Linked DNA regions of Anolis sagrei. The protein of the gene in region 2 purifies or fractionates together with the protein of the main gene of each other region. This does not show direct contact. Links are inferred from orthologs where the notes say so. Each region holds a gene or a part of one and is shown on either strand. Other genes may lie near its edges. The genes, in order: ERC2 and RIMS1.

The links.
Region 1: the proteins of RIMS1 (region 2) and ERC2 purify together in Homo sapiens (affinity purification with western blotting; 3 studies listed by BioGRID and IntAct, with this or other methods). This does not show direct contact. The link is inferred for Anolis sagrei from reciprocal best matches to the Homo sapiens genes RIMS1 and ERC2.

The regions. Positions count from the first base shown.
Region 1 is NC_090022.1:58,447,024-58,455,226, reverse strand, and holds the start of ERC2 (ERC protein 2), read right to left. Parts: upstream 3,190-8,203; 5' UTR 2,865-3,189; intron 1-2,864. UniProt on the Homo sapiens protein: Thought to be involved in the organization of the cytomatrix at the nerve terminals active zone (CAZ) which regulates neurotransmitter release. Seems to act together with BSN. May recruit liprin-alpha proteins to the CAZ.
Region 2 is NC_090021.1:112,632,600-112,639,885, forward strand, and holds the start of RIMS1 (regulating synaptic membrane exocytosis protein 1), read right to left. Parts: upstream 3,265-7,286; 5' UTR 2,490-3,264; coding exon 2,308-2,489; intron 1-2,307. UniProt on the Homo sapiens protein: Rab effector involved in exocytosis. May act as scaffold protein that regulates neurotransmitter release at the active zone.

The DNA.
Region 1 (8,203 bases), on a different chromosome or scaffold from region 2:
ACTCACAGCAACCAAGTTCCTCCATCCTCTCCTTAAAATGCAGTTGAACTCTTGTCACACACATTTCCAGCTTTAGAAAAATGACCTACTTAGGTCCTGACAACCTGTTCCTGATATGCCAAAGGAGAATCTTTTTTCCATGTTTTGGCAGATGCAACCAGTATCTCTAAAGCACTGTATATTTAAAAAAAATACCATGAAGAATATGGTTAGATCAATTATTTATGCTATCTCCATCCATAGATGAAGGAATCCTAAGGAGAGGAAAAATCTTAGAGTCATAGAATCCTAGAGTTGGAAGAGACCACCAGGTCCGCCCATTCTGTCATGGAGAAATCAAAGCCCTCTTGACAGACAGCCACGGAGCACCTTCCCAAACAAAGGGAAAGCCAAAGTAACATCTGGTAAGAGGAGGAACCACTAAATCTGGTTTCTGCCTCCTGCAGAATTCTGGGGTTTGTAGTTTAGTGAGGCTGTTAAATGCTCCTCCCTAAACTACAAACCCCCAGAATTCTGTAGGAGGCAGCAACCGGATTTAAAGTGGATTCATTCTCTAGTATGATGAGATCCTTAAAGAGAGAAAGGGTGCATTTCTCTCACAGTTATGACAAATCCTTCTGTATGGTGGGGATCAGCTTGAGTCTTAAGAGGGAGGTCAGACCACAAGCTGCCCATGGTCTGACCTGCAGACTGTCTCTTTGAGGAAACATATGTGAGAGAAATAGAGACAGAAGCCACCCAAATACTAAGGCTGAAATTGCCTAAGATCCCTCTATACATCACGGAGAGGTTTGGAAGTGTCCAATGGAGATTGTGTGTGTGACTCTCTAGGGGTGCATCTACACCAAGCATGGGCCAACTTTGGCCCTCCAAGTGTTTTGGACTTCAACTCCTACCATTCCTAACAGCCTCAGGCCCCTTCCTTTTCCCCCTCAGCCGCTTAAGCAGCTGAGGGGGGAAAGGAAAGGGCCTGAGGTTGATAGGAATGGTGGGAGTTGAAGTCCAAAACACCTGGAGGGCTGAAGCTAGCCCATGCCTGGTCTACACTGTTGAATTAATGCAGTTTGACCCTGCTTCAACTGCCATGGCTCAGTGCTATGCAAACCTGAGAATTATAGTTTTGCAAGGTCTTTAGCCTTCTCGATCCTATAGTGCTGGTGCCTCACCAAACTACACATCCCATGCTTCCATAAGCATCCATTCTTCGGTGTAGATGCACCATGTGACTCCCTGGCAACACTTATAGTGGGGACCCCCCTCTGGTTGGTTTTCACTGCAGTGGAGAAAAAGGGGAGAGGCTGGGGAGAGTAGCAGGCAAAGGGTTTAGAGAAAGCTGTGATTTCTTCTCTTTCTGTCCCTAAAGCCAACCAGGAAACTCGCTCTGACCAGCAGCTCTGCCCTCCTCCTGGCCACACCAATTGGCTGAGCCCAGGGCCAGGAGCCCATCCCTGCCAACGCCAGTGGCCTGTGGGCTTGTCCATCAAAAGGGACATGTCAATTCACAGGGAGCCCTGGCCCTCCATCCTTCCATCCTTTCCTCCCAGGTTGAGCAGGTAGCCGCTTTAAAAGGGACCAAATGGAGGGAGGGGTCTCTCCATCCCACGCCTGATGGCTGCACATCCTTGTGCAAAACCCAGACAGCATCTATCATCACAGACACAGAGAGCTCAAGGGGGGGGGGGGCACAGGTCACCATCCCTTCTTCCAATCATCCCAGATGGGACCACAATGTAACCCCTCCCTCACTCCTAACAAGCCATGGATCCATTTGTTTATTATATAACTGGTTTATTTTAACTGCTCATTTTTAACTGTTTGTTGGTACTTGTTTTAATTTTAATTTTTTGTCATAGGACATGGCATTGAATGTTTGCCATTTTTTGCCTGTGGAAGCCACCCTGAGTTCCTTCGGGGAGAGAGGATGGGTTAAAATAAAGTTGCTATTATTATTATTATTATTATTATTATATAAATAGAACAGATCCAATATATTTGAATATAATAGATGTGATATATGTAAATTCAACAGATTTAAGATAGATCAATAAAATAGTTTAAATATAATAAATATAACAGAAGTAATAGATAGATAGATAGATAGATAGATAACAGATGGAATACATTATATTATACTGCTTCTATAATATAAAAATCGATGCAATATATTCAAAAATAACAGATTTTATATGCATAAATATAATAGGTGCAATATATTTTAAAATAGTCGATTGAACATATATATATATATATATATGCAATATATTTAAATTTATCCAAAGTTATATATATATAGATTGAATATATGGGAGTATATATATATAGATTGAATATATGGGAATATATACTGCATCTATAATAAAATACCATTTCTTCTCCTTCCTGGGAAACCCCTAAGATGATGAAGGGGAAGGAAAGAAGGAAGGGAGGGAGGGAGCAGCACTGATTCATTTCCCCCCTGCAAATATCTACTATTTACAAACCCAGGCATCGTTTCCTAGTAGACAAGAACGCTGTAGGGATGGCTCACAGGCATCTATCTAGATATATTGTACAGAGAAATGGAGAGATGGATAGTGTATCTGGAGAGATGGCTACAACAGCCCATGCCAGGCACAGCCCAGCCAGCAAGGCAACCAGGCTGCTGTTTTCGAGGAGGGATTGCACGAAGGCATCTGCTTCCCTGGAAAGGGAGAGGCACTGGATGGACTCCTTACTATGATCCAGAGGGATGCAAGCTCCCCTTTGGGCACACCGAGGGTTGGATGACAGCCATGCCTGTTCCTCTCTCTCTCTCTCTCTCTCTCTCTCCCCATCCTCAGGCCCCTCGGCGAAGGTGTGCCTCCCAAGCGGTGCCCTTTGCTTACCTTCCCCACCATCGTCTTGCACCTTCCTCTTCTTCTTCCTCCTCTTCTTCCTCCTCCTCCTCTTCCTCTTCCTCCTCGCATGGAGCCCTACACCATCACGGCTTGCGGCGTCGCAGGGAGGGAGGGAGAGAGGGAGGAGGCCAGCGCCCGAGGAGACCGACCCACGGCGCCGCAGTCCGTCCCCAGCGGGGAGGCTCCTCTCCCGGGCTGCCTGCCTGCCTGCCTTGCCTGCCTTGCCCGCTCTCAGCCTCGGCCAGCTCGCAGCCCGGCCAGCGCCTGACTCAACATTCCCAGCATTCCCGAGGAGAGAGCGCGGCAATGAGCAGCAGTCGCCGCTAGGGGCGGTAGAGAGCTGCTTCGGGAAAAGAGGCTTCTGAGAGAGAGAGAGAGAGACAGAGAGAGAGAGAAGGGAGAGAGCAAAGCGGTCCTTGGCGTGCCAGCCCCCTCCCTGGATGGAGCCCCCCCCCCCCGCCCCAAAAAGGTATATATACACCCTTTAACAGCTGGTAGTCGCTGTGGTTTGAAGGCTCAGAAAACACATTTACATTGAAAAGTAACGTTGAAAAATATTTTATGAAATATATTGAATTGAATATTAGATTTCAATATATTACATCTTATATATATATATATATATATATATATATCTCCAATCTGTTATTATTTCAATATATTACATCTATCATATTGAAATATATTAAATCTGTTATATTTAAATATATTACATGTATTATTGTATTATTATTATTATATTATAGATGTAATATATATATATATTATTTTAAAATATATTGCATCTATTATATTCAAATATATTAAATCTGTTATATTTAAATATATTACATCTATTATTGTATTATTATTATTTAATATATTAAAATATGTAATATATTTTAAAAATAATATATATGTATATATACATCTATTATTTTAAAATATATTGCTTCTATTATTTTTAAATATATTCAATCTGTTATAGTTCCATATATTACATCTATTATATTTATTTATATATTAAAACTGTTACATTTCAATATATTACATCTATTATATTTAAATATATTAAATATGTTATAGTTCAATATATTACATCTATTATATTCATATATATAATCTATTATATATATTATTAATTATTAAGCGGACAAAGGTCAGTGTGCTGGAAGAAGCAAAGACCACCAGCATTGAAGCAATGGTCCCTGCCATCAACTCCGCTGGACCGGCCATGTTGTCCGGTTGCTCTACTCCCAACCATGCTATTTGCCTGCAAGACGCGGACTGTCTACAGACATCACATGCAAGTCCTGGGATGATTCCATCAGCGCTGCCTCCGGAAAATCCTGCAAATCTCTTGGGAAGACAAGCGGACAAATGTCAGCATGATGGAAGAAGCAAAGACCACCAGCATTGAAGCAATGGTTCTCCACCATCAACTCTGCTGGACTGGCCACGTTGTCCAGATGCCCAACCACTGTGTCCCAAAGCAGTTGCTCTACTCCGAACTTAAGAACGGAAAACGGAATGTTCGTGGACAGGAAAAGCGATTTAAAGATGGGCTCAAAGCCAACCTTAAAAACTCTGGCATAGACACTGAGAACTGGGAAGCCCTGGCCCTTGAGTGCTCCAGCTGGAAGTCAGCTGTGACCAGCAGTACTGTAGAATTTGAAGAGGCACAAATGGAGGGTGAAAGAGAGAAACAAGGTAGGCGCATCAAGCCAATCCCAACTGAGACCGCCTTCCACCTGGAAACCAATGCCTTCACTGCAGGAGAAGATGCAGATCAAGAATAGGGCTCCACAATCACCTACAGACCCACCAGTACACTGATCTTGGGAAACTATCCTACTCAGACAATGAGGGATCGCCTAAGAGAAAAGAGAGATCTATAATATATATCCTCTACATTATATTTAAATACATTGCATACATGGTACATTTAAAATATATTGCATATTGGTTGTATTTTATTAAATATACCGCATATTGATTATACAGTTGAATAAATATACTAGATTTTTATAAACTATAGTAAATAAATGTGTTGGTAACTGAAAATATTGGCTATCTGGATTTAAATGCATTGCATATATGTTATATTTTACTAAATATATTGTATCTAGGTTATAATATATTACCTATTGATTATACAGTTTCATAAATATATTAGATTTGTACAAATCATAGAATCATAGAATCAAAGAGTTGGAAGAGACCTCATGGGCCATCCAGTCCAACCCCCTGCCAAGAAGCAGGAATATTGCATTCAAATCACCCCTGACAGATGGCCATCCAGCCTCTGTTTAAAAGCTTCCAAAGAAGGAGCCTCCACCACACACTGGGGCAGAGAGTTCCACTGCTGAACGGCTCTCACAGTCAGGAAGTTCTTCCTCATGTTCAGATGGAATCTCCTCTCTTGTAGTTTGAAGCCATTGTTCCGCGTCCTAGTCTCCAGGAAGCAGAAAACAAGCTTGCTCCCTCCTCCCTGTGGCCTCCTCTCACATATTTATACATGGCTATCATATCCCCTCTCAGCCTTCTCTTCTTCAGGCTAAACATGCCCAGCTCCTTTAACCGCTCCTCATAGGGCTTGTTCTCCAGACCTTTTATCATTTTAGTCGCTCTCCTCTGGACACATTCCAGCTTGTCAATATCTCTCTTGAATTGTGGTGCCCAGAATTGGACACAATATTCCAGGTGTGGTCTAACCAAAGCAGAATAGAGGGGTAGCATGACTTCCCTAGATCTAGACACTATGCTCCTATTGATGCAGGCCAACATCCCATTGGCTTTTTTTGCTGCCACATCACATTGTTGGCTCATGTTTAACTTGTTGTCCACGAGGTCTCCAAGATCTTTTTCACACGTACTGCTCTCGAGCCAGGCATCCCCCATTTTGTATCTTTGCATTTCGTTTTTCCTGCCAAAGTGGAGTATCTTGCATTTGTCCCTGTTGAACTTCATTTTGTTAGTTTTGGCCCATCTCTCTAATCTGTCAAGATCGTTTTGAATCCTGCTCCTGTCCTCTGGAGTATTGGCTATCCCTCCCAATTTGGTGTCGTCTGCAAACTTGATGATCCTGCCTTCTAACCCTTCATCTAAGTCATTAATAAAGATGTTGAACAGGACCGGGCCCAGGACGGAACCATGCGGCACTCCACTTGTCACTTCTTTCCAGGATGAAGAGGAAGCATTGGTGAGCACCCTCTGGGTTCATCAATTTAACCAATTACTGATCCACCTCACCGTAGTTTTGCCTAGCCCACATTGGACTAGTTTCCTTGCCAGAAGGTCATGGGGGACCTTGTCGAAGGCCTTACTGAAATCCAGGTACGCTACATCCACGGCATTCCCCGCATCTACCCAGCTTGTAACTCTATCGAAAAAAGAGATCAGATTAGTCTGGCATGACTTGTTTTTGATAAATCCATGTTGACTATTAGCAATGACCGCATTTGTTTCTAAGTGTTTGCAGACTGCTTCCTTAACAATCTTTTCCAGAATCTTGCCTGGTATCGACGTGAGGCTGACCGGACGGTAGTTGTTTGGGTCATCCTTTTTTCCCTTCTTGAAGACTGGGACCACATTGGCCCTCCTCCAATCTGCTGGAACTTCTCCTGTTCTCCAAGAACTCTCAAAGATGGTTGCCAATGGTTCCGAAATGACTTCCGCTAGTTCCTTCAGTACTCTTGGGTGTAGTTGATCTGGCCCTGGGGACTTGAACTCATTTAGAGCGGCCAGGTATTCCTGTACGACTTGTTTCCCAATTTGGAGTTGGATGTCCTCAAATCCCTCATCCACTCCGTCTTGCTGAGGTTGAAGATGACTTTCTTTTTGTGAGAAGACCGAGGCAAAGAAGGTATTTAGTAGTTCTGCCTTTTCCCTATCCCCTGACAGCGTTGCCCCATCTTCTCCTCGAAGAGGCCCAAACTATATTAAATACATAAAGATATACATAACTGAAAATATAAGATCTCTCCCACCTTAGAAAACTGACTTCCCACGTAATATTTGTATGAAATATATTACATAAAGATTATAGTATAATAAATATATTAGATTTTTATCAAATAAATATTTAAACACATACATAATCGAATATGTATGTGTATGTGTGTGTATCCCACCTAAAAAACTGACTTCCATTTAATAAAATATAATATATTTAATAATTCTATTAAATGGGAAGTCACTTTTAGGTGGAATATATATATATAGAGAGAGAGAAATTATGTATCTATGTACATGTTTAAATCTTAACTATATTTTATGTTTATAAAAATTGAATATATCAACTATACAAAATATCAGTATATAAGCACAAACATAACTGAAAATGTAGAATATGTATATATAACAGTGCCCCGACCCCACCACACCCATTGCAACAACTACCACCCTCAATCAGCCTTAAACCCCCTCTTCTACCTATATATCTCCAATCTTAAAATGTTGACTTCCCATTAAATGTTTTATGAAATATATTGAATGCATGTTTTATGAAATATGTAAACATATACATAACTAAAAATGTGGAATACATCTAACAAATACACACTTTAATAAGAATAATACACTTTATTTATATTCGACTCTATATCCCCAAGGGGACTTAGAGTGAATTACAGTATATACATATATAAGCAAACATTCAAGTCTTTTATACAGTGAACAATGACATACAATATGCAAATGAAAGCAAAGGTTTCCATTTCCATCCCCGGCATCTGGAGGTGATGCTCAACTTAGCCATGGAGAGGTGATCTTGTTCCATTTTCCAAACTGAGGAGCCTGGTGTCCATGGACTCCACTGGTCATATTTTGCTGGCATGGTTGTATGGCTGCCTTTTGCCTTCCCGCCAACATGGTACCTATGGATCTACTGATATTACATATTTTCGAACTGCTAGGTTGGCACAAGCTAGGACTGACAGCCCAGAGCTCACCCCAACCCACAATTTTGAACTGCTAACCATCTGGCCAGCAATTTTTCTGCTGCTAGCGGTTTAACCCTCAATGCTACTGTAGCCCAATATACATTACAAAGTACAGCAAGATGTAAGTAAGCAGAAATGAGCAAAATAGTGCTATGTGACACAAACCCACCTGTTACAAAAACTACCACTCATAATCACCCTTAATACCCTTGCACCTATAGCTAAATAATATTTATACACCTACACACCACCTTAAAACTGACTTCCTATTTATTATTCAAGTTGAGTATCTCTTATCTGAAATGCTTGGAGACAGATGTATTTTAAATTTCAAAATAGGTGAGCTCTATTTGCATATCTGCACATAATGAGGTATCTTGGAGATGGGATCCAAGTCTAAATAAG
Region 2 (7,286 bases):
TTTAGATATTCTTGGGGACTCCACATCCTGCATGCTCCTCACCACCAGTCTCAGTGGTAAAAGAAACATCAGCACACCCCAAAGGTTGCTAATTTCTGTCTTCTACCTTCACAGCACCCTAACCTTTAAAGCTGAACCTATTGTGTCCTCCTCTGAATGTGATTTTCCTGCTTCTTGGCTGAGTGCTGGACTGGATGGTCCACGAGGTCTCTTCCAACTCTATGATTCTATTACTGGGCCCAGGTGTATATTTGGACAACAGCACCTGCCACCACTATTGCAATTATCCAAATTCCATTCAAATTTCAGAGCGAGAACAGACAACATCACAATAAGAAACAAGGAAACACCCCAGGTCTATCCCTGGCAATATACATGGCAGAGAAGTTCAGAGAACACAGGGATTCCATATTATAGATGACACAGCTAGCTGGAGGGAGAGGAGAAGAACAGACAAATACTACAACTCACACCTTGGAATGCATTGCTTGGCATTCAATGCTCCGTCTCCACACCCCCCCCCCCCCAAAGCCTCACACTGTGTTTACACATCTTTTGGGAAGCCACCAATCCTCCAAATAAACACATGGGAAGCAAATGCATAGAGAGGAAAGGGGATTTTCTTAGTACCTCTACCAACAGGAAGCTGACATGTTACAGATACACAGGTATAAATATACAGATTGCATTCTGCTACCTAGGCCCAGAGGATGTTAGATGGAGACAAAGCCTCCCTCCCTCCCTGTACACAGGCCCAATAACCCTGTTTAGATGTAGCAATCCATCTAATATCGTGCTATTAGATCTCAGGACACTTATTGGTAGAAGGATAATGAATCTGTTCATGCATGACATGGGTGAGGAAGAGAGGCTGTAGCACAGCAGAGCTATGGGCAGTTTGAAATATGGACAGCTCCCAAATATGGCATCTCCCAGCACTCTGGCATCCCCATCACCACACACACACACTTTTACAGCTAAAGACTTAGGTTAGGGGATGAAGTCAACGGATGATAAGGTCCCACCAGTGGATAGGCACAGCCATTTCTGGGAGACCAGACATGCTATTGATTGCATTTATTGTATCCCCCATGGCATCTCTTCAAAACATGCCTTAAATCCACCACCATGCTGTACACACATATTGGTAAGATAAGAGGAGGGGGAGATTGAAAGGATTGGAAAGGAGGGGGGACAACTATAGAGACCCAGATGGAGAATTCCTGCAGGTGGTTGAGGGAACCAGGCACAAGCCAGCCACCAAGGCCCAGGGTGTGGACGTGCTTGTGCCAGGCGGGGGCAGCATGGCCTGTTCAAGGCTCCGGTGAGGGAAACCCCACCCTGAATGACCCTCCCAAAATAGGCTGGGTTGACTTGAGGGTCTGATGGGGTTTTCCCCTAAAAAAAACCTTTCAAATTCTTCCAAACGTTTGCTTTAACATCAAAATAAAGCCAGAAGTCATGGCTGATGCACCTTTTGGAGAGAACCCCAGAGGAGGCTAAGGGTTGGATTGTGGTTCAGGGGTCTCCTCACAGAGGAAGAGTTATCTCAGGAGTGAAGAGGAGGGAGGGAGGAAGAGGCACTTGAGGCTCTTCCACACAGCCCTATATCCCAGATTATCAAGGCAGGCAATCCTACATTATCAGAGTGTGGACTCAGGGCCCTTCTACACAGCCCTATATTCCAGAATATCAAGGCAGGCAATCCCACATTATCCGAGTGTGGACTCAGAGCCCTTCCACACAGCCCTATATCCCGGTATATTAAGTCAGGAAATTTCTCAATATCTGAGTGTGGACTCAGGACCCTTCCACACAGCCCTTTATCCCAGAATACCAAGGCAGGCAATCCCACATTATCTGAGTGTGGACTCAGATAACCCAGATATTGTGGGATTTTCTGTCTTGATATTCAGGAATATAGGGCTGTATGGAAGGGCCCTGGGTTGAGTCCACACTGCCATATATTCCAGTTCAAAGCAGATAATATGGAATTGATATCTTGGGATATAGGGCTGTGTGGAAGGGCCTTTGGATAGGGCCCGAGTGGGGCCTCAAGCCAAGCCAGGCAGCCCTAGAGCCCCTTTTCCCCTGCCCCCCCCTTTCCCCCCTGACCCCACCCCGCCATGCATGGCCCATTCATAAAACTCTCCCTCTCCTCCCTCCCTCCCTCGGTGGCTGACAAGACCAGATCCAGCCCACCCTCCCGCGAGGAGAGAGAGAGAGAGAGAGAGTGAGCGAGTGAGTGAATGAATGAACCAGGGAGAGAGGAGAGGAGAGGGAGGGAGGGGCCGGCCTGGGGCTTACTTGAGCATGGCCTCTTCCTTCTCCTCCTCCTCCTTCTGCCGGTCCATCACGGCCAGGATGATGTTGCGCTCCTCCTCCGTCAAGTGGCTCAGGTCGGGCAGCTCCGGCATGGGGGGCGGCACGGCGGGGGGACGAGAGGCGCGCAGCCCCACCGAGCAGGAAGAAGAGGAAGAGGAAGACATGGTGGTGGTGGTGGTGGTGGTGGTGGAGGGCTCCTCTCCTCTCCCCCCTCCTCCTCCTCCTCTTCCTCTTCCTCCTCCAACGCCTTGGGACCCGGGCGCGACGCTAGCCAAGCACGCCGCCGCCACCTTCTCCTCTTCTTCTTTTTCCTTCTCTTCCTCTTCTTCTTTTTCTTCTTCCTCCTCCTCCTCCCGCTACACTGGAGCCCTGTGTTCATGGGCAGCGGCAGCCAGCAGCTCTGGGGAAGCAGCAGCAGGAGAAGCAGCAGCAAGAGGAGGAGGAGGAGGAGGAGGAGGAGAGGCGGAGACCCGGGCGCCGTTCATGGTTGCTCCTCGCCTCCGCCCCAGAGCCGCCGCCGCCGCCGCCGTTGTTGCCCCTGGCTCTCTCCTCGCCCTTTGGCTTCGGGGCCTCAGGCGGATCCGGGGATGCCCCGCAGCCTCGGGCAGCCCAGCATCCTCCTTCCCTCTCCTCCTCCTCCTCCTCTTCTTCAAGGCTCCGGGAGGAGGAGAAGGCAAGGAAGGGAGCAGCAGCAGCAGCAGGAGCCACGGGTGGAGCTCAGGTCCTTCGGTGCACTGTCAGGGCTGGAGGGGGAGAAAGGAGGGAGGGAAGGAAGGAAAGAAGGAAGGAAGGAGGATGCAAGGAAGGAAGGAAGGAAGGAAAGAAGGAGAGAAGGAAGGGAGGATAGAAGGAAAGAAGGAAGGGCGGATGCTGCCGCGGCTCCAATGCTCCACTGCTGCTGCTGCTGCTGGGAGCGAGCTACAGGGAGGGGAGGGAGGGAGGAGGGAACTGGGTGTCACTTAGGCGGAGTCCACACTGCTCCACTCCCGGGTGATGCTCAAGGCTCTCCTCTCTCTCTCTCTCTCTCACTCACTCTCTCATCTCACCCACCTTCTCTCTCCCTCGCTTCCCTTTCTCAGCTCTCTCTATCTGCTCTGTTTCTCCCCTCCTCTCTCTCTCGCCCTCTCCCTCTTTCCATACCACGCTGGAAATATACATAGACACCTTTCTCTTTCTCTCTCCCTCTCTTCCACTCCCTCTTTCCACAGCATGCTGGAAATATACATAGACACCTTTCTCTCCCTCCCTCTCTCTCCCTCTCTCCACAGCAGCTGGAAATATACATACACACCTTTCACTCCCTCCTTCCCTCCCTTTCCCTCCCTTTCAGCACACTAGAAATATACATAGACACCTCTCCCTCCATCCATCCCTCTCTCCCTCTCTCCACAGCACACTGGAAATATACATAGACACCTTTCTCTCCCTCTCTCTCTTTCCACAGCATGCTGGAAATATACATAGATACTTTTCTCTCCCCCCCCCCCCCACCTCTCCACAGTATGCTGGAAATATACTTAAGACACCTTTATTGCCCTCTCTTCCTCCCTGTCTCCACAGCATGCTGGAAGTATACATAGATACCTTTCCCTCCCAGCCTCCCTCCCTCTCTGCTGGAAATATACATAGACACCTTTCTCCCTTTCCCTCTCTTTCCACAGCATGCTGGAAATACACATAGATACCTTTCTCTCCCTCCCTCCCTCCCTCCCTCTCTCCCCACAGCCTGCTGGAAAACTACATGGACACCTTTCTCTCCATCCCTTTCCCTGGGATCCTGTGTATTTCCTGGGGGATATGGGGAGAGTCATTTTTCCAAGGATATGGCTCCTCTTTCCAGGCAAGTAGTCCTGCTTCCCAACCTGCCACAGAAAGGGAGAGACAGAGGGCGAGCAGGTTGGCCTCGCCTTTGGATCAGAGTTCCCTTGGGGTGTGCCAGGGTGAGAGCCATCTCCTGGGCGGTTACCCAGAGGGAGTGTGCTCTCCCCAAAACCCAGTCACAGGTTTTTCCAGGGTTTAGAGGGAGGGCAAGGCTGGTGACCCTAAGGAGTCTGAGGCTAAACCAGGCATGGGCAGATATCCGCCCTTCAGGTGTTTTGGACTTCAACTCCTCCAATTCCTAACAGCCTTAGGCCCCCTCCTTTCTTTTCTTTCCTTTCCACTTAAGCAGGTGAGGGGTGAAAGGAAAGGGCCTCAAACTGTTAGGAATTGGGGGACTTGAAGTCCAAACACCTGGAGGGCCAAATTCTACCCATGTCTGAGCTAAACCATGCTGCTCTGAGCACAATCCAAGGTGGGGATGTGCATCCAAAAAATCAACAAGCCCCCTACTGTATCTGGGATGAATGAGGTTAGGATTCACATTGTAGGGAGTGCCCTTAATTTTTTAGTTCATTTTCTGTGTGCAAACATGGCAGATGCAGCAAATGATTGAAGCATCATGTATGGGAGCAGGCGTGGGAAATGTTGGTATGCTCAAGTCCTGCGTTAGACAGTACTGCTTGGTGGCTCCTGTATCAGTGTATCTATCTATTCCAGTCTTTTGAAAGAGAGCTCTCCAGGGCATTGAACTTGTTTGAATACTCTAATTCAGCACCATGGAAAGCTCCTTTGAAGGTTGGGTTGGAACTCCTTCTTCATTAGCCAGGGCCCACTGAAGCCATTGATTCCTCACCCTTTAGACCAGTGATTCTCAACCTGTGGTCCGCAAGAACTAAAATATGGTCCGTGGCCACACCATTACTACATTGTTGCAACGAGAATTACTGGTCTCGTGAAATCCTTTTATAGTGCCAAGGCTTATTAAATATGGTTTTCTGTGGGTGAGCTGATGGTGACTACTGGATGGCATATGTTCAGTATCAGAAACTAGAGCTGATGTGGTCTATCCAATGTAATTTTCTGAATCAGCACCCCAAATAACCAAACTGAATCTAAAGTTAACCAAAAACTGATTCATAACCCTTTCAGTACTAACGTTGGAGAGTGGTCCCTGGTCAAAGTGATCCCTGGTCAAGTAATCCCTGGTCAAAAAAGGTTGGGAACCACTGCTTTGGACTTAAGTAAATTTCAGCTCAATCCGAAAGGCTTGTCTACGTATTAGTGCCAGTGACATGAAAATAAAATGTATGTGTTTTTAAAATATATCTGTTATTATGGAGCAATTTATAGAACTGATTCATGGATGTATTAATTTATGTCAAAATCAGGAAAAAAATCAGAATATGAATTAGATTATATTCCTTCTTTTTAAAAATTAAATGTTAGCAGGCATGAAATAATAAGATATTTGTTCATCAGAACTGAATATTAGCATGCCAAGTTTGGTACTGAGATACCATTTTGTTAGAAATATCTCTGTATATATATCAAATGGTGTGGAAAACCTTTTCCTGAGTGAAACACAAAGCTTTCATTTCCTTCTAGTACTTATGTATTCAATTAAAGGTGCATCTCCAATCAAAATCATAAGCCCTGTACCTGTCAGGTACCCTGCCCCAGAAATCCCACCCTAGATGGATATCATGTCACCAGAAGTCCTATTTGTGGGTGGGGCAACCATAGGAGGTCATATAAACACCATACAATAGCCTTGTGGATCTGTCAGAAGGCATTTCAGAGCCCTATGATCCATGTGGATGAAAAATGGTCTGAAAAACCTTTCTTTGCCTCTCCCCAGATTGTCTCAGAAAGTCACATGCTTCCTCTATGATCACATGGCTTCCATGTGGGCCTAGTTGGAAATATCCAATTGGTGTAGTTTCCATAATCTTTCCCAATTTGTTTAAAGGACGTAACAGGTGGAAATGGCCCTACACACACAGCCCCCTTCCTGGATTATCCCCTCTATCACCATGTAATGCCTCAGAAAACACATCCCTGGACAAAGGATTAATAGGAAGAAAGCTTAGAGGTTCAGACATTTTGTTTGCCAGTTCATGTCCTGAGAAGACGTTGAGTCTTGAACTACTTCATCAAGGCCAACAAAGCCTGAAACTGTAGTGACAGATGTGAAACTCTAAGCAGAAAACTTTATATAAGTTCTCATAATGCACTTCTTCATCAGGAAGCATGTGAATTTCCTAAACGTGAAACTACATGCTGGATACTATTTACCACCTGTAATGCAGGTAAAAATAAAAAAAAACACTAGTTCTTATTTTGGAGGAATTAGCTTAGTCTTGCAAAAAAGAGGTCCCAAAAAGAACATTCAGCATTCTTTATATTTTAGGAACCAGTAGCAGGGCTGCATAAAGCAAAACAAAAAAGTTAGTGAAGGATCTGTAAATATACTAATGCTTTGTGGATGATGATGTGTATAAGGCACACTCAGCTACACATGATTATTTGGTGGTGGATTTTGGTATCAAATGTATGTTTTAACAACAGCATTTTAAATCATTTTATTTAAAAATATTTTAGGAAGATGACAGTACAGGTACAACCCACCCAAGCCATGTCATCATGGTTGGTCTTCTAAGCTTACACATTAATCGTGAAACAGTGAATATGTCATCAAAAAGACAGACATCTTTAACAGGCTTTACTGTGAGATATACAGTCTATGGGGGTTTGAAGCATTGCCTAAATCACATATAGTATGAGTTATGGGTGATATAACTAGATCTCCTGGCCAAAGTTCACATGAGCGTTTCACCAGGACAAAATATTTAATATCTAGAAAACTGTGCATGTTAAGTGGGGGAAACTTTTTTGATAGCTGTTAGCAAATATGTGCATGATTTTAGAAATCCTCAAAGTCCCCCTTTTTGAATAATGGAACCTCTTTTCTTTTCACAGAGATACCATAAACTATTTTCTACACTGCTAGTGAATTGGAATATTAACATCAGCAAGACTTGCTTTCTTAGAATGGTGGAAACTATGATTCTTTAGAAGCAATGACAGTGAAATACCTCCACATTTTTGTTTTTAAAGTTATTAAACTGCTCTATAACCCC